Oryctolagus cuniculus: one gene and its partners. The protein of the gene in region 3 interacts with the protein of the main gene of each other region in a pairwise test. Links are inferred from orthologs where the notes say so. Each region holds a gene or a part of one and is shown on either strand. Other genes may lie near its edges.

Evidence for each region.
Region 1: the proteins of NUTM1 (region 3) and P4HA3 interact in binary tests that used the Homo sapiens proteins (3 or more experiments, as listed by UniProt). The two-hybrid records come from large-scale screens. The link is inferred for Oryctolagus cuniculus from reciprocal best matches to the Homo sapiens genes NUTM1 and P4HA3.
Region 2: the proteins of NUTM1 (region 3) and SAMD4A interact in binary tests that used the Homo sapiens proteins (3 or more experiments, as listed by UniProt). The two-hybrid records come from large-scale screens. The link is inferred for Oryctolagus cuniculus from reciprocal best matches to the Homo sapiens genes NUTM1 and SAMD4A.

What each region holds. Positions count from the first base shown.
Region 1 is NC_091432.1:65,523,676-65,527,322, reverse strand, and holds part of P4HA3 (prolyl 4-hydroxylase subunit alpha-3), read left to right. Parts: intron 1-912; coding exon 913-1,072; intron 1,073-3,647. UniProt on the Homo sapiens protein: Catalyzes the post-translational formation of 4-hydroxyproline in -Xaa-Pro-Gly- sequences in collagens and other proteins.
Region 2 is NC_091443.1:21,709,835-21,713,481, reverse strand, and holds part of SAMD4A (protein Smaug homolog 1), read left to right. Parts: intron 1-507; coding exon 508-841; intron 842-3,647. UniProt on the Homo sapiens protein: Acts as a translational repressor of SRE-containing messengers.
Region 3 is NC_091443.1:55,645,844-55,650,260, reverse strand, and holds the start of NUTM1 (NUT family member 1), read left to right. Parts: upstream 1-1,486; 5' UTR 1,487-1,618; coding exon 1,619-1,634; intron 1,635-3,993; coding exon 3,994-4,417. UniProt on the Homo sapiens protein: Plays a role in the regulation of proliferation. Regulates TERT expression by modulating SP1 binding to TERT promoter binding sites.

The DNA of each region.
Region 1 (3,647 bases), on a different chromosome or scaffold from region 3:
AACTTACTTGGTCTGGTCCATTTAAGGACTTCTGACGTGAGGAATCATTTTCTCAGCTTAAGAAGGTCCCATGCAACCTCAGCCTAATTGCTTTCTCTAACCCTTGTAATATTCTTGTGTCAGAGAAAAATCAACTTTATCTATAGATTCATTGATTTCAGGGGAGGAGATGGTATTTTCTTCACTTTTCAGATCAAAAAACTATCTCCTCCTCCTCCTCTTGCATCAGGCTCCAACCCTCTGGATGTAGCTCTGTCCACACAGCTTCCCTGGAACTGGGCTCTCGGAGGTCATCAGGGAACCCCTCCCTCAGTGCCAGATCTCTTTCCTGCCCACACACCTTCACAGACTGCCCATTATCCACCAAGAAAATCCAGATGCCTTGCCACGTGTCCCCGGCTTCCTCATGCCCTGAGCCCACTTTCCCAGCCTTATCTCCCCCTACTTCTTTTATGGACCAAGTGCTTTGGCATCTGCCTGTGTTACTCATAGTCACACCTCCATGTTTGTGCTCATGTTGCTTCTTAAGGCTCGAATATCCCTGCGTGTTTTCCACCTGTGAGTATTGACACTTTATGCCCCCTTCAAACTTCTGCTTAAATGCCGCCATCGTATGGCAATGCCGCCATCGTATGGCAATACCTCACAGAGTTAACTTCTCCCTCCTCTGTACTCCCCAGTAATTGAAAGTCTTCATTTTTTTCTATCTTGATGGATACTTAGTTATATTTGTGCTGGTCTTTTCTTCCATAATGCAGGAGCCTTTGAAAGCAATAGCTTTGTCTTGGGTATCTTTGTAAACACGAGAGTTTCCTGCCTGCCTGCCTGCCTTCTGGCGGTTGACATCATCCATTCAGACATCACTGAGTCATTTGTGGCCCCAGAGCATTGATGATGCAATCTACGTTTTAGTGCCTGGCTGAAGGACACGGTAGACCCAATGCTGGTGACCCTGGACCACCGCATCGCTGCCCTCACCGGCCTCGATGTCCAGCCTCCCTACGCGGAGTACCTCCAGGTGGTGAACTACGGAATCGGAGGGCACTATGAGCCTCACTTCGACCATGCTACGGTGACCGTGGGGCCAGGGCTATGGGGTGGGGAGCCAGGGCAGAGGCAGAGCTGTTGTAGGGCTGTCAGGGAATACTAATCGAAATCTTACAACAAAGATTCTTATTCCAGGAATATTTGAAAGGCTTAGTTTCAAGCTGACTGCTGCTGATTCTTTGTCTTCCGAGTGCCATCCGCCTTTCCGAGGTTTGCTAGCTGGGGGAGAATGTGGTCTGGAAAGGAATTGTCTCTCCTGCTTCTCCTGGGGTCTCCCCATGAGGATTGTCCTCCTTCTGGTCACTGTCCTTTCACCAGCATCTCAGTTGCTCACTTTTGCTGACAGTATAAAATGATTTCTGAGGAGTATAAAAATCTCTCCAAAACTGATCTATAGATTCAACCCCAACTTCATTAAAATTCCAGGAGTTTTTTTTTTTTTTGGTAGAAATTAACATGCTGATTCTAAAATTGTATATGGAAATGTAAAGGACATAGAGCATTTTGTTTTTTTTCTTTTTAAAGTTGTATTTATTTATTTGAAAGTCAGAGTTAGACAGAGAGAGAAGGAGAGGCAGAGAGAGAGATCTTCCATCTGCTGGTCCACTCCCCAATTGGCCATAGTGGCCGGAGCTGAGCTGATCCGAAGCCAGGAGCCAGGAGCTTCTTCCAGGTCTTCTATGTGGGCAGGTGCCCAAGAACTTGGGCCATCTTCTGATGCTTTCCCAGGCCACAACAGAGAGTTGGATCAGAAGTGGAGCAGCCGGGACTCGAAGCAGTGCCCATATGGGATGTTGGCACTGCCACAATGCCAGCAATTTTGAAAAGAACAAAAGCAGGACATACACTCCCTGATTTTAAAACTTGGCATAGAACTACAGTAATCAAGACAGTGCGGTGCTAGTGTAAGGACAGACACAGAAGTCAATAGAACAGAACAGAGTCCAGAAATAAACCCATACCTTTATGATCACTTGATTTTTTTTATAACAATGCCAGGGAAACTCAGAGAATGAAATACAGTCTTTTCAACAGATTGTGCTGGAACAATTCAATATCTATCTGCAAAATAATCATAATGCTAAGATGATGACTTTAGACCCTTATCTCACACCATATACAAAATTAACACAAAATGGATCATAGGCCTAAGTGTAAAGTGAAAAATTATAAAATTCTAGAAGAAATAAGAGAAAATATTTATGATCACTGGTTAGGCAAGGATTTCTTAGATGGATATCAAAGCACGATCCATAAAATTAGGAAACTGATAAACTGGACCTGATCAGAATGAAAGTCCAGTGCTTTTCAAAAAATACCATTAGAAAATGAAAAGATAAACCAGGGGCTGGCACCATGGTTCACTTGGTTAATCCTCCACCTGAGGCGCTGGCATCCCATATGGGCCCTGGTTCTAGTACTGGCTGTCTCTCTTCCAGTCCAGCTCTCTGCTATGGCCCAGGAGGGCAGTGGAGGATGGCCCAAGTGCTTGGGCCCTGCACCCGCATGAGAGACCAGGAGGAAGCACCTCGTTCCTGGCTTCAGATCAGTGTAGCGCCAGCCATGGCAGTCATTTGGGGAGTGAACCAATGGAAGGAAGACCTTTCTCTCTCTCTCTCTCTTTCTCTCATTGTCTATAATTCTACCTGTCAAATAAAAAATATATTTTAAAAAAAGGAGAGATAAGCCACCACCTAGGAGAAGATATTTGCAAATCATGTATCTGATAAAGGACTTATATTCAAAATATATATAGAATGTTTATAACTCAGTGACAGGATAAACTTCTCAATTTTTTAAGATGGGCAAGAGATTATTTGAACAGCACTTCACCAAAGAAGATAAGTGAATGACTAATAAGCACATGAAAAGATGTTCAGCATCATTAAAGAAGTGTAAATTAAAGCCACAGTGAGATAGCACTGCATTCCTATTAAAATGACTAAAACAAGAAAATATCAGGGCAACTATTGGGAAGGATGGGGAGGAACCGGAACACTCACCTACTACTAGTGAGAATGCAAAAGGGCACAGCTACTTTGAAAATAGTTTGGCTTTTCTTAAAAAGTTAAATGTATACCTGCATGTGATCTAGCCATCCTACTCCTAGATGTTTTACCTGAAAACATAAATACACACACACAGACCCATACAAAGACCTGTACATGAATATTTATACTAGCTCTATCTGTAAGCCCAAAAATTGGAAACAGCCCAAATATCCATAAGCAGGTGAATGGATAATAAATAAATGTGATACATCTGCACAATAGAATATCACTGGGCTATAAAAAATAATTAACTACTGCTATATCCAACAACATAGACGGATCCTAAAAACTATATACAAGAAGCCAAACATAAAAGGCTGCATATTTTATGATTCAATTTGTATGAGACTTCTAGAAAAGGCAAAACTGTAGAGTTAGAAAGTCGGTAACTGTTGTCCAGGGTTGAGGTGGGAGCAGAAACTGACTGCAAGCTTTTCAGGGGATAGAAGTGCTCGGAGATTGGATGTGAGCAGTTGGACAACCGTTAAAATGTACTGCAATTCATTGAACAGTACTCTTAGAGTGGGTGAATTTTATGGTATGTAAATT
Region 2 (3,647 bases), about 34 Mb from region 3:
CCACCTGCTGCAGCAGGAGCTAAGGCACACACCAAGCTGCCGAGAGCTTGGCCCACAGTCACGAAATGGTGCCAGAATCTGACCCAGAGTCTATACTTTGAGTCGCCACCCTGGGCTGCTGGTGGCATGGGCTGAGAGATGGGGCGTGGATGGCTTCCTTCACGCGTAAGGAGTCGCACTTGGGCTGCAAGGCCAGCCCATGACCCAGCCTCTAAAGAGCGTGGGGTGAAGTCGAGGAACGCGTCTTGGAGGAAGCCAGGGAAGAATGTGCCACTCGTGGCCTGGGGCCGGGTGTCTTCCTCCCTGCACACACCTGTATCCGCCAGGCCTTCTCCGGGGCTGATGGCAGTGGGACAGTGGCAGCGGCTGCTTTCCCTGAGAGCGTTCCGATGAACAGGCAGCCGGGACTCCTGGGTGGGAGCAGCCGGGGTCGGGGAGGGGCAGGCGTGGCAGGGGGACACCCTGTTCCTGAGCCTGATGTCGAGGCCTCTCCCTCTGTCCATGCAGGACATCATTGAGGGGGGCAGCCTGCGCGTCCCCCTCCAGGAGCTGCACCAGATGATCCTGACTCCCATCAAGGCCTACAGCTCCCCGAGTGCCACCCCGGAAGCTCGCCGCCGGGAGCCCCCGGCCTCGCAGCAGCCCTCGCTCATGGGCCCCGAGAGTCAGAGCGCTGACTGCAAGGACAGCGCCACGGCCAGCAGCGCTTCGGCCAGTGCCTCGGCCGGGGCCAGCGGCGGGCTGCAGCCACACCAGCTGAGCAGCTGTGACGGGGAGCTGGCCGTCGCCCCCCTGCCGGAGGGGGACCTCCCTGGGCAGTTCACACGCGTCATGGGAAAAGGTATTGTCCTCCTTAGCCCCAGAAGGATGAGCAGCTCAGGGTGGAGGCACCTGGACTGACGTCCAGGCCCTGGGCTCCGCCTCCCCAACCCCGTCTCTCTGACCCCCTCGGCCTTAAAGGAGATGGAGCCCTCCCAGTAGTCCTTGGGGGAGGCTGACAACCGTGATTTCACAAACAAGCCATTGGCTCCGTGCTGCCGCTCCCCAAAGCCGGAATGGCAGAAGCAGGTGGGCAGCCAAATGGGGGGTTGGTCCTTTGGCCCAGAGCCCAAGAGCCCCCTGTGTGGGAGGGGCCAGGCCCATGACAGAGGCCTCTGACCCTCACCGCTTCAAGTCTTCTGCCAGGTGCCCCACGGTGAGGATTCTCTGCACAGAGCCGTCATGTTCATACTCTCCAGGGTGGCTGCACCACCAGAAGCGCTTAGGACTCCTAGCATGGGATTACTCGGGTTTGTGTGTGCCAGGCACGGGTCTCCGTGCCAGTCACCCAGATGCCTCTATTCTACAGAAGAGGAGACTGGGGCACACGGGCTGAGTAGCCCACCTCAGCTTATACAGTAGATGGCTGGGATTTCAACCCTGAAGTCTACCATCTGTGCTTTCTTATAAGCTCACGATGGAGCAAGGGTCCCCACTGTTCCACGTGAAATCTTAGGGTACCATTTCTTTCTTTCTTTTTTTTTTTTTTTTGGACAGGCAGAGTGGACAGTGAGAGAGAGAGAGACAGAGAGAAAGGTTTTCCTTTTGCCGTTGGTTCACCCTCCAATGACCGCTGCGGCCGGCGCACTGCGCTGATCCGATGGCAGGAGCCAGGTGCTTCTCCTGGTCTCCCATGGGGTGCAGGGCCCAAGCACCTGGGCCATCCTCCACTGCACTCCCTGGCCACAGCAGAGAGCTGGCCTGGAAGAGGGGCAACCGGGACAGAATCCGGCACCCCGACCGGGACTAGAACCCGGTGTGCCGGCGCCGCTAGGCGGAGGATTAGCCTAGTGAGCCGCGGCGCCGGCCCAGGGTACCATTTCTTAATTCCCACCCTCTGGGCGAATGCAGCACTGCAGGCCCTCACCTGGGACTGTGTGCAGTGCACAGCCTACACATCCATACTGGACTGCCTTGCCTAGCAGACAGTTCTCTCGCCCCATTCTCTTCACTCACGCCATGCCTCCTCATCCTCCAGGTCTAAGTAAGGGAGTAACAAAGCCTGATCCCCTGGGTGGGGTAGGGTGCCCCTCTCCCAGGCCCCCAGCCCCTGTCCTCTCCTTGTCTGTACCCGGTTTACATTGGATTGCCATTGTCTGCTTCACCCTCTCCATTCGGCGGCAGCACTCTCAGACTACTTTTAATAGGCGCAGGACACCCTGCCTGTAGCACAGCACCTTGCTTGTGCTAGGTGCCGGCCAAGTAGTGGGCACAGGCCGAAGGGTGACACCAGTACCTAAAGTTAGCCTCGACCCTGGGCTAGCCAAGCACACCGCGGCCGCACTGGGCGGCTGTCTGTAGGGCAGGCGGGAATCCACAGCGGGGTCCTTCCCCGTGGTCCTGACCCTTATGTCCACATCCTTGGAAATGTCCAGTGTTAAAATAACTTGTGCCTGATGGATGTGTCTTGACTTGGAAAAAAAAAAAATGCGGCGAATGCTGCCCCTTTCTCTTACAGCAGGGGAAGCCAGTTTTTCCCCTGTGTTGTCACTCTTTCAGAGCCAAATTTTTCACCAAAAGAAATGGACATCTGACCTTTAGAGTTGCAATAGGTGCACAGCCCCCACCCTCCATGGGTCTCCTAAAAAAGACTTTAATTCATGAAAATCTGGTGCACCAGGAGATAACTCCTAGCTTCCCTTCCGGCTTGATGGCCGGGGGGCTCCTTGCTGTCCCCTGCTTGCCGCCCCACCCACCCCTGGGCTGTATGGGACCAGGCCTGACACAGCTCTGCCAAGCCCGTCTTGAGGCAGTAGTGTGACAGAGGGGCCCTGGCCCCTTGCCAACCCTCTGCTACTGCTTCTGTTTAAACTGTAGCTGGTTTACAACAAATTACAAACCAGTTCCCACTCCACGTTAAACAAAACAGTGCCCAGGGAACGACAGCCCCCTCCCCCCACCCCTGGTGATCCCTGCACTGTTTCTTCCAGAGGTGGCCCTGTGATGTTTGGGGCCGTCTCCTGCAGGACTTCATCATCGCTTATGAGTGCGCGAATGTCCATTTTTACACACACTGGTGGTCTTTTCATTCTTGTCTGCAGCTTGGTTTTTTTAATTTTTTTTAAACACTATATACTTTGAATATTTCTACCACCACTGTATGCATGAACCATAATTGGTTACCAGGGTCCCCGTAAATGGACAAGTGGGTGTGATTGCAAACACTGCGGTACTGAAAATCTATATGCCAAGGCACAGAATCAATGGGATCCTGTGAGGCACTGGTCAGGTGGGGCCAGGGAGAGGAAGGAAGAAGTCAAGGGTGATGCCAGGTGTCCAGCTGGAGGGGCCAGCGTCCTCGCTCTGGTTCCCTTCTGTGTCCCGTCATCTCTCCCCCTACACGCTTATGGCCTTGTAAAGACCACCACCAAATTGCAGCCAATGGCCTCTGACGCGAGCAGAACGGCTGCCCTCCTGTGGCCGGGAGGAATCCAGTGTCTCCGCTCTGCCCCCAGACTGACCCTCTCCGTCTTCCTATACACTGGCTGGGTGTGTCGGAAGCTGTGTGCGTGTAGCCGGGAGCCTCACTTTGAGAATAGACTTCCCACTCCTGTGCACGCCCACACACACACAGCCCTGCCCCCTGGGAGGCTCGGAGGCCCCTCTCA
Region 3 (4,417 bases):
GCACAGTTCCACCCTTGCAGACGTTAGGAGACACGTGGAGGGTGCCCACGGTGTGCCCGGCACTGCCAAGCGCCGTAGGGGGGTAGGGAGGCACGGTCGGGGCTCGCACACTGGTGTGGACAAGCCCGCCTTCACCCCAGGATGCACACCCTCTCCAGAGCGTCTCCAGTGGGTTTCCAGGGCCCACAGAAAAGAGGGCTCGCGGATTCGGCGCCCCTTGACCCTAGGGGAGAAATAAGGTTTTCTGTCCTCCCCACTTTTACATCCGGTTCCTACGCCCCGATTCAAAGTATTGGCGGTAAAGAGTGCATGACGGGTATTCCATATTCTCTAAAGGAAAGAGCGTAAAGTTATTTTATGAGACCGGTCCAGTATGTCTTAGTGGGCGAACCCAGATTCAAACCCAGATCTCTTTCCAGAAAATTCAGCGCTCTTTCTCAGAGTGGTAAGTAGCTAAGAATAGCGTAAGATATATCTTCTAGGACTATGTAGAATCCGTAAAAGAACGTAGAAATTCTCCTTATAGGACTCCAGTTTAAGGACGTGACCACTACAGAGTTAGTTGTAACGGCAAAAACATTGGAACGTATGTGAATTTTGTAACGAGAAAAACCCAAAAGCTTTTTTTTTTTTAAAAATATAGTTTGTACTTGCTTGTAGTTGATTAAAGTGCCGCTCCAGAAATTCACAAGAAACATGACACTCGCTCCCTCTGCTTTAGAGAATTTGGTTACAAGTAAAGACTTGTTGCTGTATAGTCTATTTTGTACAGTTTGACCTTTGAAATATTCTAATATGTGACCTATTTAAAAATTTCCAAATAACAAAATAATTTAACAAAAAACTGTCTGGTCTTGAAGATCTAGCCGCGTGGCAGTTTGAATTATGATTATTTTTAAATGTAACGGGGCTTCTCAGCGAAGGGTAATCTATGGTTTTTGCGGACTGCAGTTTCCACTAGTGGACTCCTGTGGGGCTGCAGGTCTGCTTTCCAAGGAAGTGATGTGCAGACAGCAACTGAATGCCCCTGGTCATGTGAGACAAGTCTAAATGCCAACGTTTTATTCCTTTGGCCCACATTGCAATGTGCTCTGAATTTGGTTCAGAAAATATAGCTGTCACTGAATTAAGTCAAGGGTCTACCACCTGCTATTAGTAGGAAGTCAGTTGGAAAATCGGATAGGTTTAAAGGGTACAAAACTAGGTACGAGATGGAAAATTAAAGTGTAGGGAACTGAAAGGTAAAACTGTATAGTATGATGTTTGGAATCTGAGGAAGATTTTACAAATTGCTCTAAAGAGGCACACAAGCAATTGTGTTGCCAAACTCTAGTTTGGGGGGATTCCTGGGTATTGTCTACTAATTAGAACCCTCCCAACCCCCACCTCATGCCCGCCCCCCCGCCCCCCCCCCCCCCCCCCCGCACTCCCTTCTCCCCTCCCCCACTGCAGAACGCCCGGAGTTCGCATTCTAGTTCTGTTTTGCTACAATCCTTACACGTCCTTCCTTGGATCCCTGTGTATCTATTGGAGCCAGGTTACTTTCTGGGACTCCAGACCTGACTGTCTCATTCTGGAGGCTTCCAGACAGCCAGAGTTAGTACCCAAGCCTGAGACCATGGCTTCAGATGGAAGTAAGTCTCAGGTGGCGGGGCAGGGCCCCATCCCCAACCACCTACTCACATCCTTGGGGATTCAAGTTTGACACTTCAGCAGGGCACAAGCTTTTTGGGCTGATCTAGAAAATGTGAGACCATCCCCCAAAGGCATCACCCCTGGGAGGCTGGGTCAGGTGCTTGTACCATGAACACTAGGGGTTAAGGAAGGAGGAGGGCCTCCTTCGAGTCAGATGGTGGCATCCCAGGGCAAACATGCTGAGTGTGGAGTACAGATGGCATAACTGATTCTCTGGAAGAGAATGTGTTTCTGCAGCCAGGGCAGGGGTATACGTGGTAGGAGTGGCACAGATCCACGGGTCTACATTACCAGGAAGCTGGAATTAGGAGGCAGAACTAAGAATCAAACCCAGGCACTCCACTGTGGGATGCAGGTCTCTTAACCTTCAGGCCAAGCATCGGCCTCTGCCCCCAGTGTTTCCTGACTCATCAGGACCAGAGGAGGTGGTTCATCACTGGCATGAGAGCCGTGGCTTCCCTAAAATATTCTGTTTCCCTACATTTTGTGGACCTGAGTCCTTGAGACGGATGACTTATGTTTGGTAGTTCCTGGCATACTCCTGGCCCTCTGCTCTGTGGTTCAGATGAGTGAATCTTAGTTTGTCACATTCTAAATCTCTTTCAAGGTCAGGAAGTAGAACTGGCCTTAGTCTGCTGGTGGAATACTCTTTGTAAGAGGAGGAGGAGAGCACCGTGAAATCAGGCAGGTTTCCCACCTTTACTGTTATTAAAAGCCCTGGGAGACACAGGTCATGATTAACAAAGTATATGCGTGTGTTCTTACCCCTGGCCTCCTTGCCTAGTGTCCACACAGCTCCTCCACAGCAGGAGCAGTTCCTGACTCAGCTGTCCCTGCCTCAGCGCTAGCTCAGTGCCTTGTTCCTAGTGGACCCTCAGTGTCTGCTATTAGCAGCCCCAAGCACTGCCAAACTTCAACATGTCCAGAGCGACTGAAAACCTCCCTCTCCAGGGCCATTTCCTGGTCTTTATCTAATCCTCTCTGGTTAGCTATTCCTGGATGTTATACAACATTTCTGGGAGTCAAACATCTAATCCACATACCTTCTCCTGGGATTTGCACTTCCATGAGTGGCGGCAGAGGCCACAGAGGACCTAGGAACAGAGGGCGGGGGCTGTGAATCCCATTTGGAATAGGTGGGAATAGGAAGCGTACATGTATGCAAGGTGTTATGGGACAAGGGCACCGCAGCTTTCATTGTGTTGTTTTAGGAGAGAAAGTGAAGATGCTGACAGGAAAGGGAAAAGGAGCAGGAGATGGGCCAATGATTTTTTTTAAAGACTTATTTATTCATTTGAAAGAGTTACACAGAGAGAGGAGAGACAGAGAGAGAGAGAGAGGTCTTCATCTGATGGTTCACTCCCCAATTGGCCGCAGTGGTCAGAGCTGCGTCGATCCAAAGCCAGGAGCTGGGAGCCAGGAGCTTCTTCCAGGTCTCCCACGTGGATGCAGGGCCCCAAGCAGTTGGGTCATCTTCCACTGCTTTCCCAGGCCATAGCAGGGAGCTGGATCAGAAGTGGAGCAGCCGGGTCTCATCAAACCGGCGCCCACATGGGATGCCGGCGCTTCAGGCCAGGGCATTAACCTGCTGCGCCATAGCACCGTAGCACCGGACCCATTTTTTTTTTTTTTTTTAAGATTGATTTTATTTATTTGAGAGAGAGAGAGGTCTTCCATCTGCTGGTTCACTCCCCAAATGACCACACAACGGCCAGAGCTGAGCTGATCCGAAGTCAGGAGCCAGGAGCTTCTTCTGGGTCTCCCACCCAGGGGCCCAAGGACTTGGACCATTTTCTGCTGCTTTCCCAGGCCATAGCACAGAGCTGGATCAGAAGTGGAGCAGCCGGGACACAAACTGGCGCCCATACGGGGTGCTGGTGCTGCAAGCCGGGGCTTTAACCCCCTACGCCCCAGCCCAGACCCCCAGTAATCTTTTTTGAAACTGCCTCCTTTTCAAGGGCCCTGTGGGTACCTGGAGAGGAGCCAGAACTTCTCTGAACTAGTTCCGCTGCTGCTCTGAGTCTGCCACGGGCTGTTTTTCTTTCAGAGGTGTCAACCCTATCTCCTGTCTTGCTAAACAGCCTGTGGGGCTGGCTGGCAGGGAGGGTCCACCAGGCATCCCCTGGCTTAGAGAAGCTCTCAGAGGCGGTGGTGGCTTGGGCTTGCCTCTTCCTGATAGACAGTGTCTTGTTGACAAGGGGCAACTCCTCTAACACAGGACTTCTCAGCTAGCGCAGATTCCTAACTTCTGGTCTCCTTTTCTCCGGCTCCATTCTCTCCTTTTCTTTGTCTCAACAGCATCTCCATTGCCAGGACCGGACATGACCATGAAACCTGGTGCTGCCCTGTCTCCTTTCGCTGCACTTCCCTTTCCCCCTCCTACTCCTGGCCCGCCAGACCAGCCCCCCTGGGACCCACCTCCACAGCCCCCTGTGCCTTCGGCATTCTCAGGAAATAATCCTCTGGTGCTCTCTGCTTTCCCCAGCCCCTTGCTGATGACAGGGGATGGGATTCCTGGCCCCAGTGGGGCTGGGGCTAGTAAGGTCATAGTCACGGTCAAGACAGAAGGGAGCCCGGCTGAGCCCTCGCAAGCTCAGAACTTCATCCTTACTCCCACAGCCATCAATTGGATTGCCTCGGACACTGAGGGCCCCCCAACTCGCTTTGTGACAGCCTCTACTGTGAAGGCCATTCTGCCCCCTAAAGCTGCTGGCATGAGCCA